Linked DNA regions of Pelodiscus sinensis. The protein of the gene in region 1 binds, or shares a complex with, the protein of each later gene. Links are inferred from orthologs where the notes say so. Each region holds a gene or a part of one and is shown on either strand. Other genes may lie near its edges.

Evidence for each region. The genes of interacting proteins can lie anywhere in the genome.
Region 2: TRMT112 (region 1) and TRMT11 share a complex: the UniProt entries of both Homo sapiens proteins name them as parts of the heterodimeric TRMT11-TRM112 methyltransferase complex. The link is inferred for Pelodiscus sinensis from reciprocal best matches to the Homo sapiens genes TRMT112 and TRMT11.

Annotation. Positions count from the first base shown.
Region 1 is NC_134721.1:33,162,301-33,169,254, forward strand, and holds TRMT112 (multifunctional methyltransferase subunit TRM112-like protein), read left to right. Parts: upstream 1-4,848; 5' UTR 4,849-4,955; coding exon 4,956-5,036; intron 5,037-5,148; coding exon 5,149-5,250; intron 5,251-5,473; coding exon 5,474-5,566; intron 5,567-6,180; coding exon 6,181-6,282; 3' UTR 6,283-6,443; downstream 6,444-6,954. Other genes in the region: PRDX5 (peroxiredoxin-5, mitochondrial), read right to left, coding at 445-509, 963-1,001, 1,842-1,973, 2,406-2,540, 4,253-4,267. UniProt on the Homo sapiens protein: Acts as an activator of both rRNA/tRNA and protein methyltransferases. Together with methyltransferase BUD23, methylates the N(7) position of a guanine in 18S rRNA.
Region 2 is NC_134713.1:89,807,029-89,814,919, reverse strand, and holds the start of TRMT11 (tRNA (guanine(10)-N(2))-methyltransferase TRMT11), read right to left. Parts: upstream 3,003-7,891; 5' UTR 2,980-3,002; coding exon 2,911-2,979; intron 2,835-2,910; exon of another isoform or gene 2,548-2,834; coding exon of another isoform or gene 2,536-2,547; intron 1-2,535. UniProt on the Homo sapiens protein: Catalytic subunit of the TRMT11-TRM112 methyltransferase complex, that specifically mediates the S-adenosyl-L-methionine-dependent N(2)-methylation of guanosine nucleotide at position 10 (m2G10) in tRNAs.

The DNA of each region.
Region 1 (6,954 bases):
GGGCGGGGGGTAAATGCCAGGGCCCCCTCCCCTCATGCCATGCTCCACCATAGAAAACCTGGGATGTGTCTGCAAGATAACACAATTGCCTCCCCTCCACAGTGATTCCCCCCTTTCTTCCCTCCAGGACTCCCCAACTCCTACCACCATAGAGAACCCAGGGGGAGACTGGGGAGTTCAATGTGGGAACACAGCCAGGGCTCCCTCCCACATCCTGGAGAAGCGAGAGCTGAGAATACTGTCAGCTTTTCCTCCCCATGCAGATGGAGAGGAGAGAGGAGGTCTCAATTTCCTTCCCCTTCCCTCCATACCATCCCCGGAGGCAAAGGGGACACCCAGAGGCTCACAGTGGCAGCTGCAGGTCCCCTTACAGACAGGAAACCCCCAGCTCTCCCCGAGGGGTATCCCAGAGGCTGCAGCAGGGTAGGGAGCACACTGCTTTACCTTTTGCAGCGGTTGGTCCCAAAGAGATCACGCAGAGTCTCCTTGTCCAGCAGCAGCTCTGTAGCCTAGGGGAGAAAGAGAGTGCAAGGGATGGAATCAGACAGAGCCTAGACACTGCCCCTCACAAGGCCTGTGGGGCTGCCTGGTCTCCAGACGTCCTCTGACCACAACTCTGTTGGTGTCAGGGAGATGGCATTTGGAGGCAGAACCCCGGAGGCCTCTAATGAAGGATGGGGTTCCATAGTCCCTTTCCCCACAGTCCCAGAGCAGGAACACCCCCCACTTGGAGCAGGGGCTGGATCTGAGGACAAGGGGAGGAGCAGAGGTCAAGACAGGACAGGCAAATGGTGGTGTGGGAAAGAGAATTAGCCTGAATCTGGGCTGTGGTGCTGGTTAGGGGGGAAAAGGGTCAGAGAGAGGCATACAGATGAGGGGAGGGAGGGGGAGGAAATGGGAACTAATCCTGAAGAATGATGCCACCAGCTGGCACATGGAGGCATGGATTGGGAGGATGTTACCTTTCCAAAGGCTCCTGTGGGGTCAGCAAGCATCCGCACCTGGGGGGGAAGGGAGAAAGGTTTAGGGAGCCAATGGGGAGGTGGCTGTGAGGCAGGGGCAAGGGCTAGGAGTGTCAAGTGCTACACCCAATCCTGGAATTACACAATCTACAGGCCCTTGCACAACCAACAACTCCTGCCAGGAAGGGAAGTGCTCCTGGTAGCCTGGATGAGTCACCCAGGGGTGGGGTAGGGCTCATGCAGCCTTGGGGTTAGGTAACATCTGGATGAGGGAGAAGAGACTCCTCCTCTGCCCCTTGAGACTCAACACCATACACCCCCTATAAAGACACTGCTCTGGGCCTTGACCCCTGCTCACTCCCCCTGCCCAGGAACCCCTAGTCCCACCAACCTCGCTCCCCTTGCTATGGCCCTGGTACACTGCACATTCCCTTTGGCTGGTGTCCTCACCAGCCCTCCGCTCCTCCAGGCTTTGGCATTGCGGCCCTCTCATCCTGGGTGCCATAGCTCAACTTCCACACTCACTCCTGCCTTGCCCCCCTTCATTTCCCTTGCCTTGGGCCCATGGGCCTTGTCCCCATCCCTCCTGCCCCTGCCCTTGCCCTGAGCTCCATGGGCCTTGTCCCCATTTACCCCTCCCACCTTGGCCTGAGCCCTCAGGGCCTTGCCCCCATGCCCCACCTTTCTCTGAGCCTTGTGGGCCTTGCTCCCGCTTTACCTTTCACTTGCCCTGAGCCTCATGGGCCTTGCCCTTACTTCTCCCCTCCCCCCCTTGCCCCCCCGACACACACACAACTTGCCCTGAGCCCCCTGGGCCTTGTCCCCATTTCTCCCTCCCACCTTGCCCTGAGCCTTGTGGGCCTTGCCCCCACTTCTCACCTTGCCCTGAGCCCCGTGGGCCTTGCCCCACTCACTCATGACAAAGACATCATTCACAGCCAGGCAGGCAATCAAGTCCATGCCCTTGGCCTTTAGTGCTCCGGCCTGCTCCACATAGCCTGGCAGGTGGGTCTGAGGAGAGCAAGAAGAGCATTAGTTTCCCAGCATGAGAGCAGAGTGGGGGGAGCATTAGACATCAGCCCAAGGAACCTCCTTCACCCAGCATGTCCCTCAGCACCCAGGGAGGGTGCTGGACAGGATATACTGAGCTCATATATGTGTCCCTTTCTCAGCGCATCCTGTGAATCCCTTCACTCCAGGGATGGGCTTGGGAGGAGGGGTGCTCTGGTGGATGAGTTCTGAGGAACTGGATGGGAATGGGGATACTCTGAGGAGTGCTTGAAGGCACCTTGGGATGGGGGCTTTTAGGGAGCAGGGAGCGGAGTCTAGGATAGGGATTACAAAGGGTGAGTGGGGGTGCTCTAGAGTCGGTGTGTATTCTAAAATGGGTAAGGTAGTGGGGGGGGGGGAGACAGGGAACTGCGGGGGGTCTCCAAACCTCACCTTGGAGCAGCCAGGGGTGAAGGCACCAGGCACCCCAAAGAGAATCCCCTTCTTGCCCTTGAAAAGTGCTGCCACATCCACTTTGGTATCAGGGTCTCCCTCGTACACCTCCACACTGGGCAACTTGTCTCCAACCTGGAGGACACAGAGGATGAGAGCTGGGGGAAGCCTTGCCATGTCTCCTTCCACCCCACCACTCAGGGCAAACATCTTCCCACTCCAGTGCAGGGGGTAGGAGCTACCCACACTCAGGAATTCCAACTAGGAGCCTGTTCCTCTAGCCCCAGCTATAACCCTCCCACCTCTGTCCCAGCACCAACAGGGCATGACTAGAACAGATGCAGATGTGGACCCTATGCAGCTGAGGACCAAGGGGGGGTGGGGTCTCCCTTCCCATCCAGCCAGCTTCCTGTCTCAGAAGCTGCCCCCCAGGCCTGGAAAGACACCCCTCCAGCAGAAGCACAAAGCCTATGATGAGCTTCCCCTTGGCATAGGGAGAGCCCCATGTGCACCCCTCAGTTGTGTCTATGTGCAAGGGTGCTGTCACAACAATCCAGGGCAGGGAGCAGGGTAGAGACTCAGTGACTCAGCACCTCTGCCTTGGAGTTTCCAAACAGATTACTCAAGCTCATAAGTTAGACACCTCCCCCAGTTCCCTGTCCCTCATACCCACCCAAAACCTTCTGGATTGCCATGTGTACTTCCCTTTAGAGATGTAATAGTATAACTGTTTGAACAGTTACGTGATAAGTCTGGGCTTATTAGTTACCATCAACAGTTACACACAAGCTCCCAGCCCTGCTCCCAGGGAGCCAGCTGCCCCCCCATGCTGTGGGCTCTATATCAAGAGCCTGCAGCACAGGGCAGCAATGAGCTGCCTGGGAGCAAGGCTGAGAGCCACACACTGGCTCCCAAGGAGCTGGCTGCTGCTGCCCCTCCGGCAGAAGGGCTGTAGGCGGAGCTGGTGCGAGCCTGGAGCCAGCTGAGAATTTTCAGTGGTTACAGTTGCTTAATTAACTGTTTTTAAACAGCCCTATTCCCTTTCACATCCAATAACCCTCCCACCTCAGCCTGCTCATCATCCCCCCACAATCCCAACCAACCTCCACGTCCCCCACTATCCCTTACAATCAACCCACCATCTTCAGCTCACACCTACCCTTCCCCCAGCCTCTACCCTGTTTTCCCTCTTGCACAATCCAGCTCCCTCTGCAGGCATGTATGAGGGTGGGGGGAGGAGGTAGAGAGGCGGGGAGGTTTGTGCGAATGGTGCAAAAGCACCCCCCAAGTGAGCATGCTCCAGCCAGCCAGGGGAAGGCTGGGGCTGATTTCCCACTTACTTGGGGGAGCCATGGGGGATGCATTCACACCTTTGTGGTGCACATTTACAAAAAGGCACCCACACCCACAGAAATTCCTGCATATGGGCCTGCTCCGACCCCAAGCTCCCCCCACTCCTGCCTCCCATTTCACCCCATAACCGAGCTCCCCTTCTCTGCAGCCTAACCCCTCCCCCATTTTCCCCTTCTCCATCCTGCCTTTCATTCACCCCCCACCAGTCCTTTCTACTCCCAACTTCTCCCTGCCCCCTAGATCTGGAGGGTGTGGGGCGCTCGGGGCCCCCTTGTTAGGCAAGAGCCCTGGGGGCACGGACACAGGTTCTAAGGATCCCGAGGCCAGGCTGGCGAGGGGGAGCCCTGATTCGGGAGGGGTGGCTCCGCTCGGGGCCCCGGTTCTCTGGCGGGGGCCCCGGCCGGCGGCTGATTTAAGGGGAGCCCAGACAGGGGCGGGGCAGGTTGGAGGGTTGAGGGCCCGGTGGCCCCTCTCACCGCCCCGCCCGCTCTCACCTTGACGGGCGCCATGACAGCCGCTGGGCTCGGCAGCTCCGGATCCTCTGGGCTCGGCGCCGGGGGCCCAGCCTGCAGCAGCCCCCGCCACACCCCTCAACACAGTCACCATGGAGACCGCCTGAATGACAGTTGCCAAGGAAACGGCCGGGGGGGGCTGCCACCTTCAGGGTGGAATGGAATGCCCATGCGCCGCAACCCACAAGTCTGTGTTTGCATAACATTTGCATATCATAGGTGGCTCATTTGCATGACAAGTTTGTACAGTGTTTTTTACACAGATTGATTTTGATTGGTAGCGCGGCATTAATTTGCATACAATTAACACAAGCTTTGTGATTCATGGCTGCTTTTCTTCTATCTTGTGCATATACTTAAATCAAAACTGCATGTAATTTGAATATTATTTGCATACATCAATCCCTTTGTTTCCAGTCCAATTCTTCTCTCTTCCCCTTTGGGACGAGAGGCCCAGTGGAGTAGCCGGGATCCCTCGGGGTGGCGCTCTATCTCCGCATCTCTCCGGAACCCTCAGCTCGGGCCCCGTGTTTCCCTTCCAGCCGCCGGATCCTTTTGAGTAAGGGACATTCCAGTCGGAAGCAGCGTTTGTGCGGGGGGGGGGTGCGAATTGAACCGGAAGTAGCCAAGTTTTGGCTTCCCACGTGAGTACGCGAGCGGCGCCCTGCGCGGGAGCGGCGCGAGGATGAAGCTGCTGACGCACAACATGCTGACCTCGCATGTGCGGGGCGTGCGGCCCGGGGGCGGCTTCCCCCTCCGTATCCAGGTAACAGGATCCTCCAGCAACCAGGGGCCCACGTCTGCCTGGGCTGATTTCCTCCCCCCATAGGCCTGATGGGGCCCCGGCTGCGCCTCATTGGCTCTTCCGCTCCCCGCAGGCCACCGAGGTGAAAGTGAGTAACGTGGACTTCAACCAGGAGTTCGTGGCACGGATGATCCCCAAGGTGGAGTGGGGGGCCCTGGTGGAGGCTGCTGAGAGCGTGAGTACGGGGGAGGGGCTAGCCCGTTCAGGGCATGGGTGGGAGGAGCTTGGCAGGGGGAGGAGCTCACTCTGGGCGCTATCATGGCAGATAGGCAGCATGGATCTGCACTGCAGCCTTTGGGGGGATTGGAGAGAAGTGGTTTTGGGAAGCATCTGAGTCGATAAGAGCAAACCCTCTCTTCTGGTGCAGCACTGTGACATGGATCTTCCTCCTCCTACAGCTGGGCCACCTGTCAGACCTGCCTCCCCAGCTGCCTCCTGAGTATGAGAACAATGAAGACTTCCTGAAGAAGGTGCATCATGTGCTGCTGGAGGTGAGATTCTTCTCCACAATCCTTGTCCACAACCCCCCACCAGCATCCTGTGTGGTGCAGGGCCCTGGCTCCCAGGCACCACAAAAACCCTGGCTAAGGTTGTATGACAGGGGCCTATGATACAAACACAGATCCTTTCCTGGTCTGGCTGAGACACCGGGGAGTTATCCACCCATAGAGACACTAGGGCTCCCTGGAATCCTCCAGCGTGGGGGACCTCTTTCAGTTGTTGCTCTTGTTCTAAATGTAAGCCCAGGGGACCCACTCACAGTGAGAGTATGTTGATAGTGCAGCGCATTCTCCCACTGCTCTAGCTGTGTGTTGAAATCCACTCTCATGGGTTCTGGCAGTTCAGCAGACACTCTAGCACTTGGATTATATGATCCTTTGGCTTTTGCAGAGCATCCTGCCCCCTCCCCAACTGCTAAGAATCATGAGGTGGTTAGGGAGTTGTGACTTCAGCAAAACACCTCTAATCTCAAACATTTGAGAGGGGAAAACTGGTGTTCTGGGGAAGTTCCAGCTCTCCCTTACAGCATTTCAGGTCTGGATTGGGTAGAGCCAGGGCACAGGCTGTCCACTGTAGCTGACCCGTGATTATTCCTCACACACAGGTGGAGGTGATGGAAGGTGTACTGAAGTGCCCTGATTCTGGCCGGGAGTTCCCCATCACCAAGGGCATCCCCAACATGCTGCTAAGTGAGGAGGAGACGTGAAGGGCCTGGGTGTCCAAGACGGAAAGATGGGGTAGGGGAGCTCCCTGAGGTGGGAGGGAGAGTCCTGTATGATGTAGAAGACAGTCTTTGCTTGTTTGGTTTGTGTATAAATAAAACTATGAGGTGGAGCCTGGCCTAGGGCATATCATCTATTAATTGTCCCTCCTCCCCTGCTGTGTCGCTCAGTCCTAACCTGCAGCTCTCAGCTATCCCAGCCCTGGGCTTCCTCCCACCCACTGTTGTGCTGGCGACTTTCTGTTCTAGTACCATCTCCATGCTTAGTCCTGGGTCTGTCCGAGCATTGACCTACCCCACACCTTGCACCGAACTCTCTGTTCCTCTTGGATAGTTATTTGGTTTGCAGTGGTACCTAGGAGTCCTAGACCTGAAACAGATCCCCCAGTGGAGTGGGCACTGCTCAGATACCCAGTCAAGAGCAAGGCCTCTAGTGGGCTAGGTGCTGCACAAACACAGAACAAGACAAAGATCCTGCTCCTTCTTAACTGCTAGGAAGGAAGACTGGACACAGACTGATATCTCCATGGTTTATTCTGGCTCTGGAATATAGCTCTATGTATGTGTGTGTATAGCACCTATACACAAAATAGAGGTATTTATAATATATACACATACATAATTTAATACAAACGCCCTCCATGTCACCCCACTTGT
Region 2 (7,891 bases), on another chromosome or scaffold:
TCCCTGCCAACTGTGCCAGGAGCTCGCAGAGGTTCCCCAGCCAGGGCCGCCTAGCCACTCTAGCCCCTCTACCTCCAGCGGTTCCTCGGGGTCTTCAAACCCCAAGCCACCCAGCCGCCACCAGTCCCGCAGCTGCAGCCCAGACCCGTTGCCACCGAGAGTTTCCTGGGTTCCCAGGGTCCCGCTGGTCCTGTTGCCAGAGGCTCTCCAGCCGCTTGACCCCCCTGACATCGAGGGTTCCCCAGTCAGGGCAGAGGCTCCTCAATTAAGGTTCCCCTGCTGGGGCCAGGACCCTCTGGCTGCTGCTTGGCCCACTGCTGGGGTTCCCTAGCCAGAGCTCCCGAGCTCCTGCCTGGCCCCACTGTCTCCGGGGGTTTCCCAGTCAGGGCTCCCTGGCCATCCCAGCCCTGCTGCTGCCAAGGGGTTCCCTGGCAGTCACCGGCCTCACTGCCAGGGGCTCTCCAGACTCCTGACCCCACTGACACTGGGGTTACCCAGTGTGGGTGAAGCTCCCAGATGCCACCTGATCCTGCTGATGCCAGGATTTCCCTGCCTAGCCTCTGCTGGCCCAGCCGGGACTTTGCAAACCCCAGGCTCTTTCAGCTGGCTCCCAATCCTGGGCTAGTTGGTCCAGCAACATCCGTGCTGGACCACAAATGTTGCTGGACCAGAGAGTCCCAGATTTGGGAGCTTTAACCTGTACAAATACATAATTCAACCCACCATTAGTACTGAGACCCTCTATCCTCTCTCATATAGACTCTCAGCCCAAAAGCTTTCACAAGGACACATGGCTTTATGTGGGGAAAAAAGGAGACAGATCCACAATACAGGAACTAAACCAAAATATTCAGAAACACAAACCTCAGACCTCACGTAGCCCTGCTATCATCATATAGAATCTTGCCACACTGTAGCAAAATAAGCCAAGAAATCACGGGGAGCCAGTTTTTTGGCAGGGGGTTGGTGGGAGCAGGGGGCAATCGGCTCTCTGGAAGCCAGTGCTTGCAGGGAGCCAGTTTTTAAGCCAATTCCTTGCAAGCGCGCGCGCGCACACACACACACACACACACACACACACACACGTTTCTGTAGGAGGGAGCTCCATAGGAGCTGGCATGTGCTGAGTGGGGGGACTGTATGTAACCATGAGAGTTAACGGATGAGCCCAGGCTCACTGGTTAACCAAGTTCACAGGAACACATTACAGGCAGTCCCCGGGTTACGTACAAGATAGGGACTGTAGGTTTGTTTTTAAGTTGAATCTGTATGTAAGTCGGAACTGGCGTCCAGATTCAGCCGCTGCTGAAACTGATCAGTTTCAACAGTGGCTGAATCTGGACACCAGTTCTGACTTACATACGGATTCAACTTAAGAACCCCAGGCATCCCCAAGTCAGCTGCTGCAGAAACTGATCAGCGTCTGATTCCAGGAAGCCCGGGGCAGGGGCTTCCTGTAGTCAGCTGCTGGTCAGTTTCAGCAGCGGCTGACTTGGGGACGCCTGGGGCAGAGCAGCTGGGGTGCTGCCGGGTTGGTCCAGTAGCGCCCAGAGCGGCGCTATGGGACCAACCGGCAGCACCCCAGCTGCTGTACCACAGGAGTCCGGAGCAAAGCCGCGGAGCATGGGGGCAGCGGGACAGCCCAGACGCGCCGTGGCTGTCCTGCTGCCCTCGGGCTCCGTGGCTTTGCTCTGCTTTGCTCACCGTCTCCCTGGTCTGCAGACCAGGGCGACGGGGAGCAAAGCGGCGGAACACGCGGGCAGCGGACAGCCCAGACGCGTCTGGGCTGTTCGCTGCCCGTGTGTTCCGCCGCTTTGCTTCCTCTCCCTGGTCTGCTGGAGACCAGGGAGACGGCCCCGTTCGTAACTGTGGATCCGACATAAGTCGGATCCGCGTAACTCGGGGACTGCCTGTACATTCACATCCCTACTAAAGAAGACTCAATATAAACTAGAGTTTTATTATAGAGATTTGGAAACCTATACATTCTTGTACCTCAAGCTCCACTTCAGAGAATTTCAGATTACCCATAAAAATTTTACAGGAAACAGTGTTGCAGAAAGAAGCCACTCAATAGCTACAACCCACCAATGAAGCATCTGCAAAAACTGTTCAGCAGGATAATTCAATCCTATGTGCTATTTACACAGCTTTTGCAACCAGTTATGCCTCTGGGGACAAAACCCCAACAGAAATGGTTCATCTACAATTCTGTAAATACTCCATTTTTGTTAGAACACAAAAAGGGTCATTCTGGGTCAGACCAATTTTCCATCTAACCCAGTATCCTGTCTTCCGACAACAGATGATGCCGCATGCTTACGAGGGAACAGACCTGGGCAAATGTTGAGCGATCCTGCTACTGTCATCAATACCAGTATGTGGCAGCCAGAGAGTTAGAGACACTCTGAGCATTGGAGGTTTTGTGCCCCTGCCCATCTGGACAAATAGCCATTTGGGGACCCTCCTTCCCTGTTGCAGTCATCAGATGTAATAAACCCAATTCCCTCTCCCCCAGCAATGAAAGTAACTTACAATGTCTAACATGGGACTGTCCCATTGCAACCCGGGTCCCTGCCGGTCTGTAAATAGCTCCCTGCTGGCTTTTGCGGGACCTGCGCCCCGGGTGGCACCCGCTTGCCTCGCTCCTAACCCACCTACAGAGGAGACGAGCGAGCCTGTAGCTCCCACAGGAGCCAGCTCGATGCCAGGCTAGGACAGGACTGGCCCAGGCCCCAGCCAGGCTCGCGGCAGCAGCCGCCCCCGCGAGCGGCGAAGGCGGGAGCGGACCAGGGTTGAGGTTCGCACAAGCCCCCACGAGGCTGCACTGGAGAAGCGCCCCTCCCCCACCAGCTCCTGCCCCGAAGGCGGCACGTGCCCAGCAGAGGCTGCCCCGCCCCCTGCTCTTACCGGCAGCCGGAACTCCAGGTTCTCCTGCGCTAGCAGCAGCAGGTAGCGCGACAGCGGCCCGCGCGCCATGGTACCAGCACCGCCCCCGCCTGCCAGTATTCCTCCGCCCAGCCCCGCATGCGCCGCCGGGGAGGGGGGCGGAGCCCGGGGTGCCGGGGTGGGCGGGGGCTCGTGCAGGCCGAAGCGGGGCGGGGCCGGGCCGGGCAGGGGCGGGGCCTTGTTTGGCCCGTTACGAGCTCGCGGTGGCTGCTGCGGAAGCCTGGCGGAGGTTGCCCCAGGAGCTGCCCCGGGCAGGCTGAGGCCTCGCAGCTGGCGTTGCTGGGAGAAGGGAAGCGCCGCGGGGCGGGTCCATTTCCGGGGTGCGGGGGAAGGAGCAGAGCGCAGCGCACGGGGCGGGGGCTGCTATGGACGAGGCTGCGGGAGGAGACTTCCCAGAGTGGTTTGGGGCTGCGCCCTCTGTGGTAACAGGAGGGAAAACCGGGAACCTGACGCCCTGGCATGAGGGTGAAATGGGAACGTTCAGGGTAGAAGGGGGAGCTTGTGCATAATGGCTTCATAGGTTCAACCCCGGCGCCGGAGCGTTCTTTGGAGTACTCTTGCCTGCAAGTAGTCAGGGAAGGCAGGATGCCCCCAGGGCCACAATGCTGTGCCATGAAGAAGCTGCCCAGGGATGGGATTTGCCACATTGATGCTGCAAGGCAGCACTGGGAAAGGCAGCTTCAGAAAAGAGATTGTAATTGGATTGTAAAATGTAGGAGCCCTAGACACAGATATGACCCAGTGTGCTCAGCATTGTACAAACAGAGAGATAAGATAGGCCATGTCCTAGCCTAGACAGTCTACAAGCTAAGTATAAGGCAAAGTATGGAACTAAAATCCATCTTTTTATTCCTGTTTGGATGTCCAAGTAGACCCTAAAGATCCAGTTGCAGCTTTCAAAAAGATGTAGGTTACCTCTCTTGTCCTGGCTTACAGCCTTCTTTCTCCATCTGAGGGGGGGAAAAGGTTGCAATGTCCAAATGATGTTTGAGTTCTTGTGCTAAGCTCACCAAAGTAATTGTTTCACTACCACTATCTATTGTTTGGTAAAATACTCTGTAATGAAGTAGGGACCATGTTCATTACATGTATATTTATTCTCCACTCCAGTTTTGCTCCACCCCAAAAAAAAGTGAGAGAACCAGTTAGAAGCAAGATCATGTTGGCAGCATTTGTGCTATATAGGCAGTATTCTAGCAGTTCAGGAATTGTTACAAAAACTTTTCATGCATTTATGTAGCTTTCTGATTCTGACAGCTGTTTTCAGCACTAGATAATTAGACTTGCAGGGAGTAGGTTCATATGCTCCAACTGAGCTCCCATTATTGCTAACAATGCCTTACAAGCAATGGTAGAACTTAGTTGTAAAAATATTCTAGTAAAAATAAATCTTAAACTCAGTGTGGAAGGGACAGTTTTCAAATGCTTTGTACAGCTCCTCACACTTCATTGATGTGACATACAAATGTTACAATATAATACTACCTTAGAGGTTGGAAATGCTCTTGAGGGCTGGGCTTTCCCCTCTGATGGACAAGAATTAGGGATTTGAATGAGTAGTCAGGTATACAGTTAACTGATAACCCTAGGTTTATACAGAGACAGCAAGGGGGAGACCAGAAGCCAGTGCTAGGGGGAGCTGGCTTAAAAGTTGCTCCCTCAGCAGTGGGCTCTGTGTTGCTGCCTGTGCCACCCCCTGCTGTCTTTTATTAGAAGCAGCAGCACAGGGGAGGGGAGGAGGGCCGGGGAGGCTGCCATGAAGCAGTCTCTGTCTGTGGCGAGCCTGGGCTCACTACGGGCAGAGGCTGCTTTGCAGCAGCAGCCCCTGTCCACAGCGGGTGCAAGCTCCCACCAGCAGACTCTGTCTGCAGGGAGCTTGTATCAGAGGCAGCAGTGCAGGGTGGCAGGCAGCCAATCCACAAGGAGAGCTGGTTTTTAAAATGGCTCTCCCATGGCCCGGCTCCCAGCTGGCATTCTGATATAGGCAGCAGTGCAGGTTGGCAGGGGCTCCCCAGGAGCGGGGCCAGAGCACACTGGCTGCTGATCCTGCCCCTGGGGACTATAGAATAGTCAACTAACCACTAAGAATTCATGCAGGTAGTTGACTATTTTATTACCCATTAGCTAAAATCCCTAGCAAGAATACCTCATGTTGCTAACCATTGACACCCTCCCGCTGACTAAGGAATGGCACAATCTAGATTCTGTCTGAAAGATTAACTAAATAGCATTGACAGTTTTTATGAAGAGAGTTGCATTCATTTTTCTGTACAAAAGAGGACAGTAGCTATTACATAAAGTTGTGAGGGTGAGAAGTGAACTGTGATGGGAAAAATGGAGAGAAACTCAGGATTGTGACAGACATGAAGGCCCCTTGGACAAAAAAAGGCAGACTTTCTTTCTCTTTTTCTTAAAGATTTTTTTCTCCTGTGTTTTGGGTTAATTCCCCCCCCCCCCCCCCGCCGCCGCCGCCAACGTGTAGAAGTGATTATATTCCTACTGTCTGGGGTCTCTATTTGGTCACCGAAAGGTTTAGCTTATCCAGATTTCACTAAGCCTTTTATTAGTACTAGGCCATTTCCACACAACTCCTATTTTGCAGCTTTTTTTGGTCATATGATAGCTTTTCTTGTAGATTTTAAGAACTTGCTCGTGACTTCTAAGTACTCTATGGACTGCATTCCTTATATATTTGTGTTCAGGAGTTGGAAAGAGCTGGTGCTGGCTGACACTACAGTAGAACTTAAATAGTTACCTTGTTTTCTGCAGTATTTAAACTTTTACTTTAAAAAATCTAGCCCTTATATACTCAAAATAATTTTAAACTTGAACTAAGTCTACGGACAGAACAGCTTTGAGAGAGATCAGCAGGGCTCGACAAATAATGGAATCTGCATGCTCCTGGCGAGTAGATTGCAACCCGGAAGAGCTGGGTTTGGGAGATCTGCGCATGCACAGAACGAGCTACACATGCACAGATTGCTAGACAGCGCAGCTGGCGAGTGGGGCTCACTGTGGTTCGGCAAGCCCTGGATATCAGCACATCTTTGTTTCAATATCTTAATGCTGAAACCTAATTTTTGACATATTGTTTGTCAATGTTACTAACTTTCCCTGCTAATGATTTAAGCAGAAATCTCCAGCCAGGGCCGGATTAAGGCATGGGCTAGCCGGGCAGCTGCCTGGGGTTCCAACCTATGGGGGCACCTGATGGCAGCTGTAAGGAGTGCACAGCACCCCTTATAGCTGCCATCAGGCGCCGCATGCCCGGTTCCCGGATCGCGGGCTGCAGCAGCTCCCAGTGGCCACCCTGCAGCAGCCGCCCGCGGTGGGAGCCACGTTAACCCCCGCAGCACCGGCCAGCAGCGCCCTTCCCGCCGCGGCCGTGGGGCCCTGCACGGCCAGACTCGGCCCGCCCTGGGCGGCCCTGGGCTGCGTGCCAGCGGCAGAAGCCGGGCTGGGTCAGGCCGGGCATGTGCGTCCTGCCACCGCCAGCTCCGCGTGCCCTCCCCCATACGCTGGGTGGGGGCCGGGCTGTGCATGCGCCCTTCCCCACATGCCAGCGCGGGGGTGGGGCTGCGCATGTGTTGTCCTCCACGTGCCAGCGTGGGGGCGGAGCCACTCATGCGCCCTCCCCCAACCCAGGGCGCTGGAATGGCTCAGTCCGGCCCTGTCTCCAGCTAGTCCAGGGTTACTGACAACAGTTTAGAATTGCAGGAAGAGACTGAGCAGAAGGTAACCTTTTATTTTTCCAATCTGACCCATTTGAGATTTTTTAAACCATTTAGTTTCTACCCTGGTATTTTGTAAGTAGGAGTTATCTGATCCATTATTTAAAATTAAGCTTTTTGGAGAGATGATTTTCTCTTCATGTGCTTCTCATCTTACGGAATATGTTGTTTTCTGTTTACAGGGAAAAAAAACAGCAAGCAAATGGTCTGATAGCACTTTATAGACTAACAAAACATGTAGATGGTATCATAAGCTTTCGTGGGCGCAGCCCACTTCTTCAGATTTAAAATGTTAAACATGTCACAAACAGCACTGGATAAGCTTTTATATTTTTGTATTTTAATACATGAATGAACTGCATGCACATGTGCACACAGATACACGTTAGTATTAACATATAAAACTTTGTTTTCATATTGTCATTGTTGACATCAAACAAAAGCATAAGTTGAGTCTTTGTAATGAATATTACTCAACTCTGCTTTTGAGAGCATGTCTAATAGCAAATATTTATACAGAATGTTTGATCCTGAAAGAATCCAAACAAATTCCCACATTGTATTTTATATGATACTATTTTCCTATGGTACTACTGAAAAGTAGTCATTTTGAAGATGGACTATGACAGCCACACCAATAACATTTCATAATTGATTTTAGGAAGGGAAATGAAGAACAATCCCTCTTGTTTTTGCCTACAGGGTAATTTTAGGTAACCAATATGTAATTACCCAAATTGGAATTTGACTAGTGCACTGGAGTTAACACCCTGTCTCTTATAACAAGTGCCATGAGATCTTATAATGATCACAAGTTTGAATGAGGGTGAGAGAAATCTTCAAAATGCTTCTCATGAACAATGATTGAACTCACGCTGTTGTTTTTTCTAAATGATATTTCATAACCATTGTGTCATTTTAAAAAGAAATCCTCCTGCATAATTCCAGAACCATTCATACATAAAACACTTTAGTGACGTCATTCTTTTTTCACCCAGAATTACTTCATTGTGAGCATAAATTCATCATAATTGGCATTGAAATGTACAATGGACTGAAACAATTTAGAAATGCTATTTATTATTAATGGAAAATATCTATATTGGAGTTCACTGGAAGCAGCACTGCAGTCTGCTCATGGACAAACAGACATGACATTTTAAATCATAGGAGAACACACAGAACATCCTCTGATGCATTCAGTTATCAAG